Coturnix japonica: one gene and its partners. The protein of the gene in region 1 interacts with the protein of each later gene in a pairwise test. Links are inferred from orthologs where the notes say so. Each region holds a gene or a part of one and is shown in the gene's direction. Other genes may lie near its edges.

What was found. The genes of interacting proteins can lie anywhere in the genome.
Region 2: the proteins of MLX (region 1) and GABARAPL2 interact in binary tests that used the Homo sapiens proteins (3 or more experiments, as listed by UniProt). The two-hybrid records come from large-scale screens. The link is inferred for Coturnix japonica from reciprocal best matches to the Homo sapiens genes MLX and GABARAPL2.
Region 3: the proteins of MLX (region 1) and MXD4 interact in a two-hybrid assay, tested with the Homo sapiens proteins (2 studies listed by BioGRID). The link is inferred for Coturnix japonica from reciprocal best matches to the Homo sapiens genes MLX and MXD4.

What each region holds. Positions count from the first base shown.
Region 1 is NC_029542.1:4,577,354-4,582,459, forward strand, and holds the start of MLX (max-like protein X), read left to right. Parts: upstream 1-1,819; 5' UTR 1,820-1,935; coding exon 1,936-1,980; intron 1,981-2,061; coding exon 2,062-2,098; intron 2,099-2,175; coding exon 2,176-2,259; intron 2,260-2,367; coding exon 2,368-2,474; intron 2,475-2,635; coding exon 2,636-2,735; intron 2,736-2,879; coding exon 2,880-2,979; intron 2,980-3,226; coding exon 3,227-3,428; intron 3,429-3,903; coding exon 3,904-3,960; 3' UTR 3,961-5,106. Other genes in the region: bifunctional coenzyme A synthase-like, read left to right, coding at 1-33, 107-238, 304-493, 594-658, 893-977, 1,060-1,157, 1,304-1,450, 1,506-1,778. UniProt on the Homo sapiens protein: Transcription regulator. Forms a sequence-specific DNA-binding protein complex with MAD1, MAD4, MNT, WBSCR14 and MLXIP which recognizes the core sequence 5'-CACGTG-3'. The TCFL4-MAD1, TCFL4-MAD4, TCFL4-WBSCR14 complexes are transcriptional repressors.
Region 2 is NC_029526.1:17,778,056-17,783,161, reverse strand, and holds the start of GABARAPL2 (gamma-aminobutyric acid receptor-associated protein-like 2), read left to right. Parts: upstream 1-1,566; 5' UTR 1,567-1,728; coding exon 1,729-1,762; intron 1,763-2,197; coding exon 2,198-2,253; intron 2,254-2,871; coding exon 2,872-3,044; intron 3,045-5,051; coding exon 5,052-5,106. Other genes in the region: uncharacterized protein LOC107319444, read right to left, coding at 1-77, 885-1,054, 1,133-1,274. UniProt on the Homo sapiens protein: Ubiquitin-like modifier involved in intra-Golgi traffic. Modulates intra-Golgi transport through coupling between NSF activity and SNAREs activation. It first stimulates the ATPase activity of NSF which in turn stimulates the association with GOSR1.
Region 3 is NC_029519.1:75,158,478-75,163,651, forward strand, and holds the start of MXD4 (max dimerization protein 4), read left to right. Parts: upstream 1-1,634; 5' UTR 1,635-1,795; coding exon 1,796-1,859; intron 1,860-2,222; coding exon 2,223-2,391; intron 2,392-5,174. UniProt on the Homo sapiens protein: Transcriptional repressor. Binds with MAX to form a sequence-specific DNA-binding protein complex which recognizes the core sequence 5'-CAC[GA]TG-3'.

The sequences.
Region 1 (5,106 bases):
GGGGAGGCCGTGAACAAGAAGAGGATCGAGAACGTAACTGGAGGATCTGAGACCTCTGGGCCCCGTGGTTACATCTGGGGGGCTCAGTGGTGTCCCCTCCCGGCAGGGCCTCGCCGCACTGGAGCTCTTTGAGATCGAGCTGATGGAGGATCCCCAACACAGCCTCAGTGAGGAGGAGAAGATCAGCTCCTCCAGCCTGCGACAGCGGCTGCTCGGCACGTTGCTGCGGCCCCCACGGGTAGGGGGAGCTGCCGGGGGCTGGGAGCTGCGGGACCACCGCCCGTCTGACCCTTCCTTCCCCAGGACAGCCCCACGCTGCCCCCCCGCCCCTACATCATCGGTCTGACCGGGGGCAGCGGGAGCGGGAAGACCTCGATCGCCCGCCGCCTGGGGCAGATGGGAGCGTTCATCATCGATGCTGATGCACTGGGCCACGCTGTGTACCTGCCCGGCAGCCCGGCCCACGGGCAAGTGGTGGCTGCGTTTGGGGCAGGTGGGGCTGGGTGTGCTGCGGCACCGGCGCTGTGCCGGGACACGCTGTGCAGGTGAGTTGGATTCTTTCTGCTCCCAAATCACCTCCCTCTGTCTTGCAGAAATCTTGAACAAAGACGGGACGATCAACAGGAAGATCCTCGGGGCAAAAGTGTTTGGAAACCAGGTACGAGCAGCACAGGGAATGTCAATATTTAACCTCATGAGCAGAGAACTCTGTGCTGGCGCTTTGATTTCCAGCCCTTTGAGCTGATGCCACGTCCCTGTGCAGTAGCACACAGTAAATCAGCGGCTGTGCAGGATCCACATCCAGGCAGCAGCTGCTGTTGCTCCTCCAGCTGTGGCCCCCTCGTGGACCAACCTCTGGGAGGACCCTGACTCCGCTGCGGTTCCTTTCCAGGAGCGGCTGAAGAACCTCACAGACATCGTGTGGCCGGAGATCGCGCGGATGGTCAGGGAGCAGATCAGGGAGGCAGGAGCTCAAGGTACCGGGTGGCTCTGATTGTAGTGGGCGCTGCCGGCGCTGCCTGTGTCCGCCCGGTGACCAGGAACGGCCTCGTTCCGTAGGAAAAGCCGTGATGGTGCTGGATGCCGCCGTGCTGCTGGAGGCCGGATGGCAGGAGATGGTGCACGAGGTGTGGGCGGCCATCATCCCCGAGGACGAGGTGGGTGACTCCCCTCGGCCGCCCCGTGATCCCCGTGACCCCCCGTGACCCCCGTGATCCCCGTGACCCCCGTGATCGCCGTGATCCCCGTGATCGCCGTGACCCCCGTGATCGCCGTGACCCCCCGTCCCGTGCTGGTCCCGCAGGCGCTGAAACGCATCGTGAGCCGGGACGGGCTGAGCGAGGAGGCGGCGCGTGACCGGCTGCGGAGTCAGATGAGCGACGGGCAGCGGGTGCGGGAGGCGCATGTTGTGCTGAGCACCGCGTGGGAGCCCGACGTCACCCACAAACAGGTGAGAACGGGCCGCTGTAACGGGCCGGTGTAACGGCGCCGAGCCCCGCACGAAGCTGCTGACGGTGCCCGTTGTCAGGTGGAGAAGGCGTGGGAGCTGCTGCAGCGCCGCATCCACCGCGCGGCCACCGCAACGAGCAGCTGAACCGCAACGGGACCGAGAGGAGCCGGGACCGGGAGCGAACGGAGCGAACGGAGCGAACGGAGCCGCACAACGCGCCGGGACGGACCGGAAGCGCCGCGGCCCCGACCGGGCGGGTACGGCCCGTGCTCGGCACGGCGGGCGCTGCCGGTTCCGCGCCGTGATCCCGCAGCCGAGCGGCGGTTAAAGGGCGGTCGCAGTTTCCCGGTGTCCGTGCTGTTTGTGTCCCGTTGGTCCCGTTGTTCCCGTTGTTCCCGTTGTCCCCACGTGGCGCCCCCTCGCGGTCGGGAGGGCGGCGCTTCCCGGCGTCCCCCGCGGCTCCCACGTGACCGGGGCGGGGGAAGATGGCGGAGCCGCCCGGTGCCGCGGCGGAGGAAGCGTGGGGGAAGGTAACGGGGCGGCGGTCGGACCGTGGGGCCGAGGCCCGGAGCGCCACCATCCGCCCCGTGACCGCCGCCCTCCGCCCGCAGGTGGACGCCGCGTACGGGGACAATGTCCCGGAGCCCGGTAGGTGCCGGGGGGGGCGGTTCGATGGCGGGTGGCGGATGGGGCGGCTCCGCTGAGCGGCTCCCGCTGTCCCGCAGCGCTCGGTACGGACAGGAAGGGCAGCGTCGTGTCCCGCGCCAACAGCATCGGATCCACCAGCGCCTCGTCCGTGCCCAACACCGGTACGAACGGGGGCACCGGGCTGGAGCGGGGCGGGCGCGGGGCAACCGGGGACGGCGGCGTCCGGGGGGGCCCGTCCCGACCCGCGCTCAGCGCCGCTGTGTCCGCAGACGACGAGGACAGCGATTACCCGCAGGAGTTTTACAAGGAGTCCTACAAGGACCAGCGGCGCCGGGCGCACACGCAGGCGGAGCAGAAGCGGCGCGATGCCATCAAGGTCGGTGGGCGCCGCGCCGCGTTCCAGCCCCTCGTCCCGTGCTGGATCCGCTCCATGAGCCGCGTGTGGCTGGAGCCGCTTTGGCCGCGTGGTGGGAGCTGGGCTGTGGGTCCGTGTAACCGCTGCCGTTTGTGCCTGTTCTGCTCCCTCTGCCCCTGCAGAAAGGCTACGACGACCTGCAGGCCATCGTGCCCACCTGCCAGCAGCAGGACTTCGCCATCGGCTCCCAGAAGCTGAGCAAGGCCGTCATCCTGCAGAAGAGTGAGTGTGTGCAGGAGGCAGCAGGGCACGATCCGACCCTCAGGCACCTCAATGTGGTGATTGTGTGTGATGGTGCCTCGGGGACCGACCTCAGGGAGGTCAGAGGGGCCCCATGTGCTGCTTACTCTGTGTTTTTGTGTTCAGCCATTGATTACATTCAGTTCCTGCACAAGGAAAAGAAGAAGCAAGAAGAGGAAGTTTCTACTCTCAGGAAAGACGTGATGGCCTTGAAGATAATGAAAGTGTAAGTAAGAAGTTATTTGGTTGCTGCCCCCTTCTTCCTGCTGTTTTTCCCCATGTCCCTGCAAAGCTCCCCCGATGTGCTCAGTGCTCTGTGTGCAGTCTGGCACCTGGGGTCGTACCAAATTGCCTCCAGTTCTGAAGCTGTTTTCAGTGTCCAGTTACTGGCAGCAGCTTCTGCCCCCGCTGTCGCCCAGCTGCTGTGCAGTACGAGGCTTCGATAGCACTGAGCCCCAAACTTGGTGTTTCAGGAACTATGAGCAGATCGTAAAAGCTCACCAGGACAACCCGAGTGAGGGGAAGGACCAGGTCTCTGACCAGGTGAAATTCAACGTTTTCCAAGGCATTATGGATTCCCTCTTTGAGTCCTTTAATGCCTCCATCTCAGTCACGAGTTTTCAAGAGCTGTCAGCATGTGTCTTCAGCTGGATTGAGGAGCACTGTAAGCCCCATGTGAGTACAGCAGACACAGGGGGGTTGATATAAGAGCAGAGGCTGTTGTGTATGGCTGCACCTGTCTGGAGTGTAGGCCTGTGTGCAGCTTTTCTTTCGCCTGGGCCTTCAGAAAGGCAGAATGTGGCTGACACTGGACCTGGGGCATGGGAGCTTGGGTTCCTCTCATTTCCCAGCTGCTTGGCAGTGAAATTCAGACACTGAAAAACAGAGCTTACAAAGAGGGTGCTTGTTCCCCAGCACTTTGTTCCATAAGACACTTAGAAGTTAGGAGGGAAGAGAATGAGCTGCATGGGCAGGGCCAGGTCCTTGTTGTGCTGTGGCTGCCTGGAGCCCTGCAGCCTGAGAACACAGACAGGCGATCGTTTCCCATACAGGTGCTGAGATCTGTGGCACCAGGTGCTGTCTGTAGCATTGAGCATGGGAAAGGCTTTTCCTCCCCTGAACAACTGACTGTGTCTCCTCTCTGCCCCAGACCCTACGGGACATTGTCATCGGGGTCCTGCACCAGGTGAAGAGTCAGCTGTACTGAGCATCCCTCGCTGGAGCACCTCCCGACCGGGTGACAGCTGCCAGGAGAGGCTGGACCATCTCCCTTGTGCTGGTCCTTAAAGCTTCTTCGATTATTTATTGTCACTACAAAACCAAACCAAAGCTGTGCAAACAGGTACTGTCACAGTCAACGTTACCAAATACTGCTAAGGACTTAGTGAAGGGAAAGAAATAAGTGTGTATTGAATATAGATCTTTTAAGTTGCCAGTGTCTTTAGCTCAGGCAGGTGGTTGCAGTTGGGTTTATCTGTGCCACTGATTTCAGGGCTGCAGCTCAGCAGGTGAATCTGCTCTGTAACCTCACACCTGATATAAACCCTATTGAACCTGGGAGCAGGGAGAAATAGGAGAGTGCTAAAAGCTGTTGCTGTGCTAATGCAGCTCAGGAATAGGGTTATTCTGCAGCTGCAGGTTTTCAATACCTCCCTCTGAAGCAGCTCTTAGAAAAGCAAGAGTCTGCTTTTAATTTCTGTAGCTGCTTTGGAGAAGGCCCGGGAGAACTGAGGGCAGGTTTATTAGCATGTCACTGCCAGGGCAATGCTCATTACATGGAGCAGCAAGCGAGCTCTGTGCTGAAGGAGTGCCCTGGGGCCTCGCTGTGCTGACTCTTCAGTAACACCCCTGAATGGGAAAGGAGTGAACTTTCATTGCAGCCTTTTCCTCCTTGTTCTGATGAGTGCTGAATTGGGCCTGGCTTTATCTTTTTCTGGGTTGTGATGTGGCCACACTGAACAGGAAAGTTCAGTAGCTGCAGCACAGCATTACTCTGAGTTCACACTGCTGTTCCTTAGCACCATGATTTTATGTGGGTATATATATTTATATACATGTAACCAGCCTTGATTTTATTTTATAGATCACTGAAATCATTGTAAAGTGTAATCAATGCCAGTTTTGCAGTGTCTCACTTGCCACACGCTGCTGCTGTCAGTGTGAATCAGCAAACCAAGCACAATGATGGCATTGGACAGCATCACCCTCCATGGCATTGACACATACAGCAGGACTTGTTCTCTAGTCGTGTTCTTGCTACCACTCCAACAGTAGCAACTATTTATTTTATGTTGTTTTTCCACTGTAGATGAGGTAATGCTAAGTTTCTCAGCTCCGGGTTGCTTGATTTTTG
Region 2 (5,106 bases), on another chromosome or scaffold:
GTAGGTTGAAGTGGAAGCTCCAGTTTAAAATGCAACTGATCCATTTTTCCATCTTGATTTTTATCTTCTTCTCTCGCCTAAAAGGAGCGATCAGACTTTTGTTTAGTTAGTTTAATAGAAGGGTTCCTGTTAAGAGGAAAGAAAGTTAAAAGTGCAGATTTCCCTAACTGCAACACGCACATACAAAGAAAGCAAAGAAACAGCACAGTTAGAAATAGAATAAAAAGCTGCTTGGCTTTAAAAACATGAGGTTAGAGAGAGAAGCCTTAGTTCTGTATGTTACAACAATCCACGTACTCCACAGGAAGGGAAAAAGACTCTCCAAGAGCACTTTTGTCCCGTGCCATTCCAAACATGTTCCCTGCATCCTACAGTCTGTATCTTAACGCTGGACCTTCTGCTACATCCCTGGCAATGCTGAGCTCGGCCCTGAGCGCTTCTTTGCACCATGTCCAGCTCCTGGTGGGAAGCCGCGGCTCCCAGCGCTTCCGTACCGCTCAAGGCCAGCACCGCAGCAATTCACAACCACCACGAGGCACCACAGAGCGCTCAGAGGAAATAACTACCGCTGCTGGATCCCGCAAAGAACAATAGCTGCAGGGGAGAGACGGCATGCTTTGAAAGCACGTACCTGCATTGCAAAGCAGGGGGCTGCCCACAAAGCCCTGCAAGCTGCAGTGTAACAAGCCTCACAGAGCGGGACCGGGACGGGGAAGGAAGAAAAATTACGGGGAAAAAAAAAAACAAAAACAAAACCACAAAAACCCACGGGAAAGAAAAGTCAGCAAAAAGCTTCGTGAGAACGAGCAGCGTGTTCCTGTAAGTCAGTGCACCGACAGCCGAAGCCAAGGGAGCTCCCCGACCCGCTGCCCGCAGCCGCCTACCAACAGCAGCGGGACGCGCAGCCGGTCCTCCTGGAGCCGGTTGAACGCCGGGAACGTGCTCCACGCCAGGAAGCTGCCCGGGCCCGGCCCGGTGGTGGCCACGAACAGCAGCTGGTACTGGAAGCGGACCGCGGGCTGCTCTCGGTACGAGCTCTGCTTCAGCCAGAAACCTGCGGGCAAACACGGCGCGACGTCACGGCGCGACGCCGGGCGCGGCCCCGCGGGGCTGGGGGCTGCCCGCCGCTCACCGTGGCTCCGGTAAGCCACCAGCAGCGGCGGCACGTAGGTGAGCGCGGCCAGCAGCAGCAGCGCCAGCGCGGCGGCGGAGCACAGCCCGGCCCGGTACCGCGTGTGCAGCGCGGGGTGCGAGAACAGCTCCAGCGCCGCCATCCCCAGCACGCGGCTGCGGAGCGCAACGACGGACCGGAGCCGGGCTGCACCGAGCGCCGCAACGGGAGCGGCGGCCGCCGAGCAGCGGGGAGCGCGATCCGGGACACGCGGCTGCAGTGAAGCGGGGAGCGCCCGGGGAGCGCAGCACCAAGGGAACCACGGCGGGCGCTACGGCAACGAGACCGCCGGTAACGGGACCGGCAGCAAAGGGACCGGCGGCAACGGGACCGAACGGCGGGCTCCGCAGCCTCGTTTCCCCCACGTGACCCCGCTCACCGCGACCCGGAAGCGCCGCGTTCCGGTGGTTGCTAAGGAAGCACCGAACCGGAAGTCCCGCCTGCCGAGCCGGGGCTGATTTTGTTGTGACAGGGTCCGTGTCGGCCGCCTCGGCCCGGTTCCGTTCTCGGCCTACCCGGGCCCCGCCGCCGGCTCCGCTTCCCGCCCAGCCCGCGCCATGAAGTGGATGTTCAAAGAAGACCACGCGCTGGGTAAGGGCGGGCCCGGCGCTGCCCGACGGCGGCCTCCCGTGTCCCGTGTCCCGTGTCGCCGTCCGCCCCGGGCTCCCCGTCGTGCTGCTGGGCGGGCGGCCCCGCGGGTCTGGACGCAGGGCGGCGCGGCAGCGGGGAATGAGAGAATGAGAACGAGAATGAGAACGAGAATGAGAATGCGAACACCGGGCCGGGGCCGCGTCACGGGGTGCGGGGCGGCTGCGGTGCGTGCGGGGCTGCTCGCTCTGCGCAGGGCCCTGACCGTACCGTTACTGTTACCGTACCGTTACCATACCGTTCCGTTCCGTTACCGTTCCGTACCGTACCGTACTGTTACCGTACCGTACTGTTACCATACCATACTGTTACCGTACCGTTACCGTTACCGTTCTGTACCGTTACTGTACCGTGACTAACCGCAAGTTTTGTTCACAGAGCACAGATGTGTGGAGTCAGCAAAGATCCGCGCCAAGTACCCTGACCGTGTCCCGGTGAGTAACCAGGCCGGCTTCATCCAGAACTGAAGAGGCAGCGGTGGATGAGCTGCCTGCATCCTGCCCGCTGTGCTTTGACCAGAACCCACCAAGTACATTCATTTTCCCTTTTGCATCGTTTGATGTTTTAAAGAAGGCCCAAAGACACGTAACTAGCCCAGCATTCCTTCCTCTGCCCTAATGCGCACTGTCAAATAAGTGAATGTGCCTGACTTTCTGAACACTTACCACATCTATGTTTTCTCTATGTCCCACTTTCTTTTAAGAGCAAAGGCTTTGTACGTTCAGTATCCTGAAGGTACATTCTGTGCATGATTCCAGGAAACTTAAAGAATAAGTTCTTTACACCTTGACAGTCCTTCCTAGCTCGATGAGGGAGGTGATTAGGTTCACCTGGGTTCACAGGGAAGAGCTTTCCAGAGTGTCAGCCAGCCCTTAAATGAGGGCTAAGAGAGGTGCACAGGCACAGGAAAATTTGTGCCATTGTATATATGAATGTAGGTTTCAGTGCAGTTGTAAAATCAGGTTGTACAGTACTGAGTCCTATCTCTCACTATCAAAAGCTGTCTGTTTCTACCAGTCCTGAAAAGCCTCACTTTCACATGTGCTTTACAGGTTATAGTGGAGAAGGTATCAGGATCTCAGATTGTTGATATTGATAAGAGGAAATACTTAGTTCCATCTGACATCACCGTGGCCCAGTTTATGTGGATCATCAGGAAGAGGATTCAGTTGCCCTCTGAGAAAGCAATATTCCTCTTTGTAGACAAGACTGTCCCACAGTCCAGGTAAGTGGCTGTTCAACTGGTATTCAGAACCATTTTAGCGTGGCTGTACATATCAGAGGAACAAAAAAAAAAAACCCTTCTGAGGATTAGGCAGCACTTATAGAAGGCGTTTGGTTGCATTTTCATCTCCCTGCGATTTGGACTTTTTTGGTCATACATATTGGTAACACATTTTCGATTATTTACATTGCAAGAAGGTAAACTAGAGTTATGACATCAGAAATATCAGATAACTTCTCCATGTGGCAAAAAAAAGTTGCATGTTAAACATACAAAAGCAAGCACTATAAATTATTTAAAAAAACATGAACCTAATTCTGTCAGCTCACATTAATGGTTTTTGTTGTTGTTGTTGTGGGTTTTTTTAAAATAACTTTTTCCTGTAAATACTAAATGCAAAACAACTAGAAGTAATGTGAAAAAACTTCTCTGTAGAACGGAGTCAGCATCAGTGGTTGTCTGCTACGTACATTACAAAATGCAGCACTAGCAGCTACTGCAGCAGCTCCCTATACGATCTATTTGAATAATCTCTGAGAAAACAGAATGTAGTGTTACTTGGTTTGGAGGCAGTGTTATTCTTGTCAACACTTGCCTGTGTAACAGCACCTCCAAATAACCTGTCCAGACCCAGCAAGAAAGATTTGTATTTCATTCATGACACTTATGGGAATCACGGGAGTGGCAAGGACCACCTTTTCCTACTTTATTTCTTCTAGGAGTAGTAGAAATGCCTTAGTCCCACTTTCTCAGTACTGTAGAACTGCTAGGAACAAACAGGAAAGGCAAAGAAATAAGGGCACGTTGTATCATCTCACACAACTATGGTATCTCACATCTCTGCTGGAAGTCCAAGGCTCTGAACCTTCAAGCTGATGCAAAAATAGTAACTTTTGTTATTAGGTAAAAATGTAGCTGGCCAACAGTTCTACCCCTTTAGACCACAAATTCTTCACTTCCTTCTCATTCAGAAGGTTATCTACTATTTGTTAATTGCCATCAATTTCAAGTGCTGCCTGCAACTCTCCCCAACTCCTTTAACTTAACACACTACCCGTTTTCTCACAGGGAAAAAGCCATGATGGTTTTCCTATCACCCACATTCAGTCTGTGCCTTTCAGTTCTCTGGCCTTTTCTCAGGCACTCTTGGGCAGTTAGAAAAGATGATCTGAAGCATCTTTAGGCAGTTGACTCACATCAGTCACTGTTTCATCTGTCATTCACAGACAGCTAAAGGAGTTAGGCTGGCCAAGTAATTGCTTGGCTTTCGTTCTGTTTTCAAAATACAGTCATCCCACAAAAGACTACTTAGATTGTAAAGGGCCACAAGCCTATCTTATTAAAATACTTAGATTGGAAAGGGCCACAAGCCTACCTTATTAAAATAAATGAGTAATTAAGTTGCCAAAACGTTCAAACGATATCCCTTGAAAAAGTACCAGTTTCTAACTGGCTTGGAATTGTGGTGGCAACACTATTTTATAGTCATTACTTCTTAGCAATATAGACAACAAAGCTTGTACTCCCCCAAACAACCTGGACCTGCAAGAAACTGTCCAAAAAGCACATTTGATGAGTTTGAGAACATAGCACGCAGAGGAAGAAATTATGTTGCTTACTTAAGATGCAAGGTTTCAATGTGGCTGCATTCAAAGGAGGTGCTGTCAGGCTCTTAATCTTGCAGTTAGTCATGGCCTCGATGATGTACGATTCAGAAACTGAAATCCATCCAGTGACTAACTTTCAGTATAGGAAGCACTTTGATAAATGCATTTGCGATGTACAAAAGTAACAGAAATGTAACAAATGTGCTCCAGAAAGAGCAGCAGACCATTTTGTGAGCACAGATGTCAAACACTTTTTAGATGTCATTATGTGAAAATAATTTACATACAAACTTAATGTTAGCTTTTATGAAGCCTTGTTTATGTGAGGTTGAATTACCATTTGCAATGGTCATCTTGCAAGATAGTTGTTTCTCTTTCCCCCTCCTGCCCCCCCTTCAAGCTTAACTATGGGACAACTTTATGAGAAGGAGAAAGATGAAGATGGATTCTTATAT
Region 3 (5,174 bases), on another chromosome or scaffold:
TTAAATTACAGCCACAAGGCAGCCTTTCTTTACAGTATTTTGTCCCATCCTGGGAAATGGCCACATAGGATGAGAGGGAATGGCCTTAAAATGTGCCAGAGGAAGCTCAGGTTGGTGATTAGGAACAATTGGTGGCGGGACATTGGAAAAGGCTGCCCAAGGAAGGGACGATCTGTGGGGGTGTTGGAGGAACGCAGAGATGTGGAGCTGAGGGACGTGCTTTGTGGGCCATGGGATGGGCTGATGGTTGGACTGCATGATCTCAGCGGCCTTTTCCAGCCTTAATGACTCTATGCCATCAGCAGCCGTATCGCATTCACTCAGCTGAGGCAAAGATACAGACTAGTTACATACTAGATGTAATACACAATGCTTGCTCCGAAAGTAATGCCTCTTGGTTTATGATGCTGGCCCATGACATCAGAGGTGGATGGTGGTGGTTGAACCTTCCCACTGACGTTCTATTCCATGTTGCTGCTGTTGTGACAGAGCCGCCGTGCTCGGAGCTGACAGCACATACACAACACAATACACACACACCACACCACAACACACACAACACACACACACACACAACACACCACACAACACAGCATATACACAACACACACCACACCACACAACAGAACACACAACACACCACACAACACACACAACACACACAAACACACACAGCGTAGCATAGACACAACACAGCATAGACACAACACTACACACAATACAAAACACACAACACACAACACGGCATAGACACAACACACACACAACACACAAGACACACCACAAAACACAACACACACACAACACACACAGCATAGCATAGACACACAACACAACACACACACACAACACACAACACACACAACACAACAAACACACCACACAACACAGCATAGACACAACACAACACACAATACAAAACACACAACACACAACACGGCATAGACACAACACACACACAACACACAAGACACACCACACACAACACACACACACTACACCACACAATGCACAACACAACACACACAACACAACACACAACGCCCAACACAAAACACACAACAAACACACCACACACACACACAACACACTCAGCATAGCATAGACACACAACACACACAACACAGCATAGACACAACACACACACTACACACACAACACAACCACACACACACCACACAACAGGACACAACACAGCATAGACACAACACACACACAACACAACACAACACACACACACACACAACACACCACACACCGCGTCCCACGCGGCACCAACGCCCCACCCCCCTCCCCACACAGCGCACGCGTCCCTTCATTTGCATAGTGCCCTCTGGGCCAATCAGCGCCGGCCGGCTGCTTAACATGCAAGAAGCGAGCCAATCAGCGCGCGAGGGGGCGGGGCCACCACGTGCTGTTGCTAAGCTTCGGCTTCTAACTTGTTACTATAGCGGCCGACCAATGGGAGGCGAGATGAGATCTGTCAACATTCCCTGCCCCAGCCAGAGGAAAAGGGAGGGGGGCTCTCAACGCCCATTGGCTCCATCGAGGCGCTTCGTCCCGCCTCCTCGCTGAACCCCGTTTTCCTATTGGCCGCCGGGGCTGCCCGTCTGCCGTGTGTCAAATGTAGGTTGAGAGAGGTGCCTTATAACTGGGGACTTGGAAGTTCCCCCGCGCGTGAACTCGGCGCGGGGTGGAGTGGCCGCGCTGCGGGGGGCTCGGCTCGGTGTTACTCGGTATTACTCGGTGTTACTCGGTTCGGTTCGGCATTGCTCGGCTCCTCCAACACGCAGCCATGGAGTTGAACTCCCTGTTAATTCTCCTGGAGGCGGCCGAGTACTTGGAGAGAAGAGACCGAGGTACTGAGCGCCGCTGTCCCTTTGTTGTGAGGGGATCGGGCCCAGCTGCCACAGGGCGGGCAGGGCAAGAACATGGACGGGGCTGTGTGTGTTCGGTGTGTGCCACACACATAGAGCGATAATAGGGGATTTAGGGCGGTATTGGGGGCTGCTGAGCCGGGGGGTGGGGGGAGACTGAGGTGGGGGCACTTGGGGGGGATTTGTGGCCTTTATGTGCGTGTATGTGTGTATATATATATATACACATATATATATGTGTATATGTGTGTGTGTGTGTATGTGTGTTGCTGCTTTAAGAGATGCCGGACTGAAAATCCCAACAAATCAACCGCAACCAAAATTCTGTTCTTTACCCCCTTATAGCGTTCCTGCAAAGGAGGAAAAAAATGCATGGAAAAAATATATTGCCACTAATGCTGACTTTGTCCCTAGAAGCAGAACATGGCTATGCATCAGTGTTACCCTTCGATAGTGACTATTCCAGAAAGAAAACAAAGGCAGGCTCCATGGCCAGAAAGTCCCCGAATAACAGGTAATGGACACAGCTCGTCCCGTGTTCCATCCACGCCAGCAGCCCGTCGGTTCCGCTCCCCCATCCCGGGAGTCGCCATTTTTCGCCGCCTGGGCTTGGCCGTGTTTTCATCTCCCATATAAACACTGCCACGCGTACAACCATCTCCTCCCTGCCGGCCGCCCCCACGGCTCCGCTCTGCTCCGCTCTCTGTGCCGTCTCCTCGCAGCCTTTTCTTTGCATGGCACTAATTCAACCCCCCCCCCTCCTTCCCTCCCCCCACAGCGTTTATTTATATCCTTCCCCCCGTGGGGCCTCAGAATCGCCGCGTGCACGGGACGGTCCCGACCCGGTGCTCGCCCTTCTCCCGTCGCTCCGCATTGAGGAGGTTCCGAAGTCGAGCTCTCCCGGTGCCGCTGTCCCCGCGTGGCCCGTCGTTGCCATCATCATCCCCCTCCTCGTTGTACCGTCGCCTGTTGTTTTTTTTCCCCGCAGCGCTACCTGTGCTGCGATGCCATTAGCGAAGGGCTCTGCGCAGGCTCTGCAGCTTTGTTTGCCGCTCCGGCAGTGGCTGTGGACGTGCAGGAGGTTGGCTTACAGGGACAGTGCCGGCCCCCGCCTGGGAACTCCTCCAGCCGTCGTTGTGCTGCTCCGCTCCGCTCTGCTCGGCTCTTCCAGGGCTGCTCCGGAGCCGTGGCCGGGCCTGGCCCTACCAGCAGCTCCTCTGGGCACGGTGCTTCCTCTGGAACAGCCTAACGTGAGCTCGGCTCGCACGTGGTTTGTTTTGCAAAGCACCGTGAGCTCGGTGGGCCCGCTGCTCCCCCAGCAGGGATCCCGCAGGGTGCCCGAGATGCGGCCTGGAATCAGGAGCTGGCAGCTCCTCGGGAGGGCAGAGCTGGCACCCTGCTGCTGCCCGCAGCTGAGCTGTGCCTCTATCAGAGCTGCTGGGGGAGGCTGCTCGTTCCCTGTCCCCTGCTGGAAGTCAGGCACACGCTGCTGCGTTCTCGCTGCAGCACTTGGACGTGGGTTTGGGTTTAAGTTGAATTCTTGTCTCATTTCAGATGTCAGTTCGTTTTAGAGAGTCATCAGGAGTGGGAGATGTTTCCCGAGGCTAAACTAAACAAGGCTCCTAGCAGTCCACACCCAAAAGCGCTGGCCGCATCTTAAGGACTATTTCTGCCTCCTGAGTTTGGGAAAGCTGTGTTACTTAGAGAGCTATTATTCCATCATTTCCTTTCTTAGGTCTCTTGTCATCCCTGCAAAATAGTTATTTGTCTGAACTGTAAGCTGCTTTTCAGAGTTGTTAGGAGAGGATTTGTAACCTATCAAATAGAGCAGAATTAAAAGATTTCTGCTCACAGATTTGCTCGTGTTATGGAGGTGTGCATGCCTGCTTGCAGTTATATTCTGCATTCTGTATTTACCTGCTCAGACTTTCATTCTGATCCTCACCGTGCAGCAGTGCCAGCCTCCAACATGCCATCCTGTGACGTGCCACCTATGCATTTCCTTGCGCTTTCTTTCCTCCTCACTGCAGTGATTAGGTCAGGAATGAGTTGGTGTTATGGGACGAAGTGGTGCTTCCCAAATGGTCTCTTGTGGTGTGTATGCTGTCAGGCTGTGAGTGAAGACGCATTGCTGGAATGCAGCGCCCTGCTCTGTTAGGAGCAAGCGTGACTGCAGAGCTCTGTGGGCACCCCTGCATCCATTGCACCTCCTGCACCCACCCCCATTTGGAGGTACTGCTGCTCAGCTTTGCCTATGAGCTTGAATTCTAAATGATCTTTACATTAGAACATCAGTTTAAACCCCACAAAGTACACCAGCATCGCTGTTTATTATTATTATTTGGAGCTTATAGGCTGCAGGGTCTGAACCCCAGACTAGAGTTTGGGTAATGCTGTTAAGTCTCCCTAAGCAACTTGGAGATTACCAGGGGCAGACGACTGGCCAAAGTTCAGAGGATCTGGAATGGTCGTGGTGATGTGAAGCGCTGGGTAAAACGTTTGTTGTTATTGTTCTGTATCAACCTTTTTCCAGCCTTGGAGCATCGGATTCAGGCAGAGTATATACATACATGTCTGAAGTTTATTCCTAATGATTGCATTCTTCTTCTTAGATAGAAAAATACGTGCTTAAGGTTGGAGGGGAAGGAAAGAAGCAGAGAACTGCACGTTTCGAAACTGCAGGGGTTTGGTTGTTTTCGTCATCTGTTTTTATATCCTGCTGCTTGCAGCATCCTCAGCTCCCTTTGTTTATACCGTCTGATCAGATTAAAAACCGATACATATATATATATATGTATGTATTGCACGCTTAGTGAGCTAAATATATATATGTATAGATACATTAAAGCATGAAAAACATCTTCCTCCTCATTTTGGGAAAATGAGGAAAGGGGAGGAGGGGAGCAGTGTCAGCAGCAGGGGGCTGTGCCACGCATTGCTCTGCTCTGCAGTTCCTCCCCTCGCTGCCTGTCTATGGGGGCTCAGACACCCCTGCAGCTGCTCCACATTTTCTGGCTGTGGGTCCAAGGGCTGGAGCTGAAGGGCCTCGTTGCTCACCAAGGTGCTGCTTCTCCTACTGATACAGTGACATCATGATACCTGGAGCCTCCATCCTCCTGCTGAACGGGATGCTTCTTGGCTGGGATTCTTGTGAGCAGGATGGGAGGAATAGTGCTGACCCTTGGGACAGGGCGATGGAGTCTGGGCTGAAGTACTGCCTGCTTCCCTATGGGAATTAAGTGACAGACCTGGATGCATAGCAGGAAAAATAGCAGCATTTAATCAATCCAGATCTAT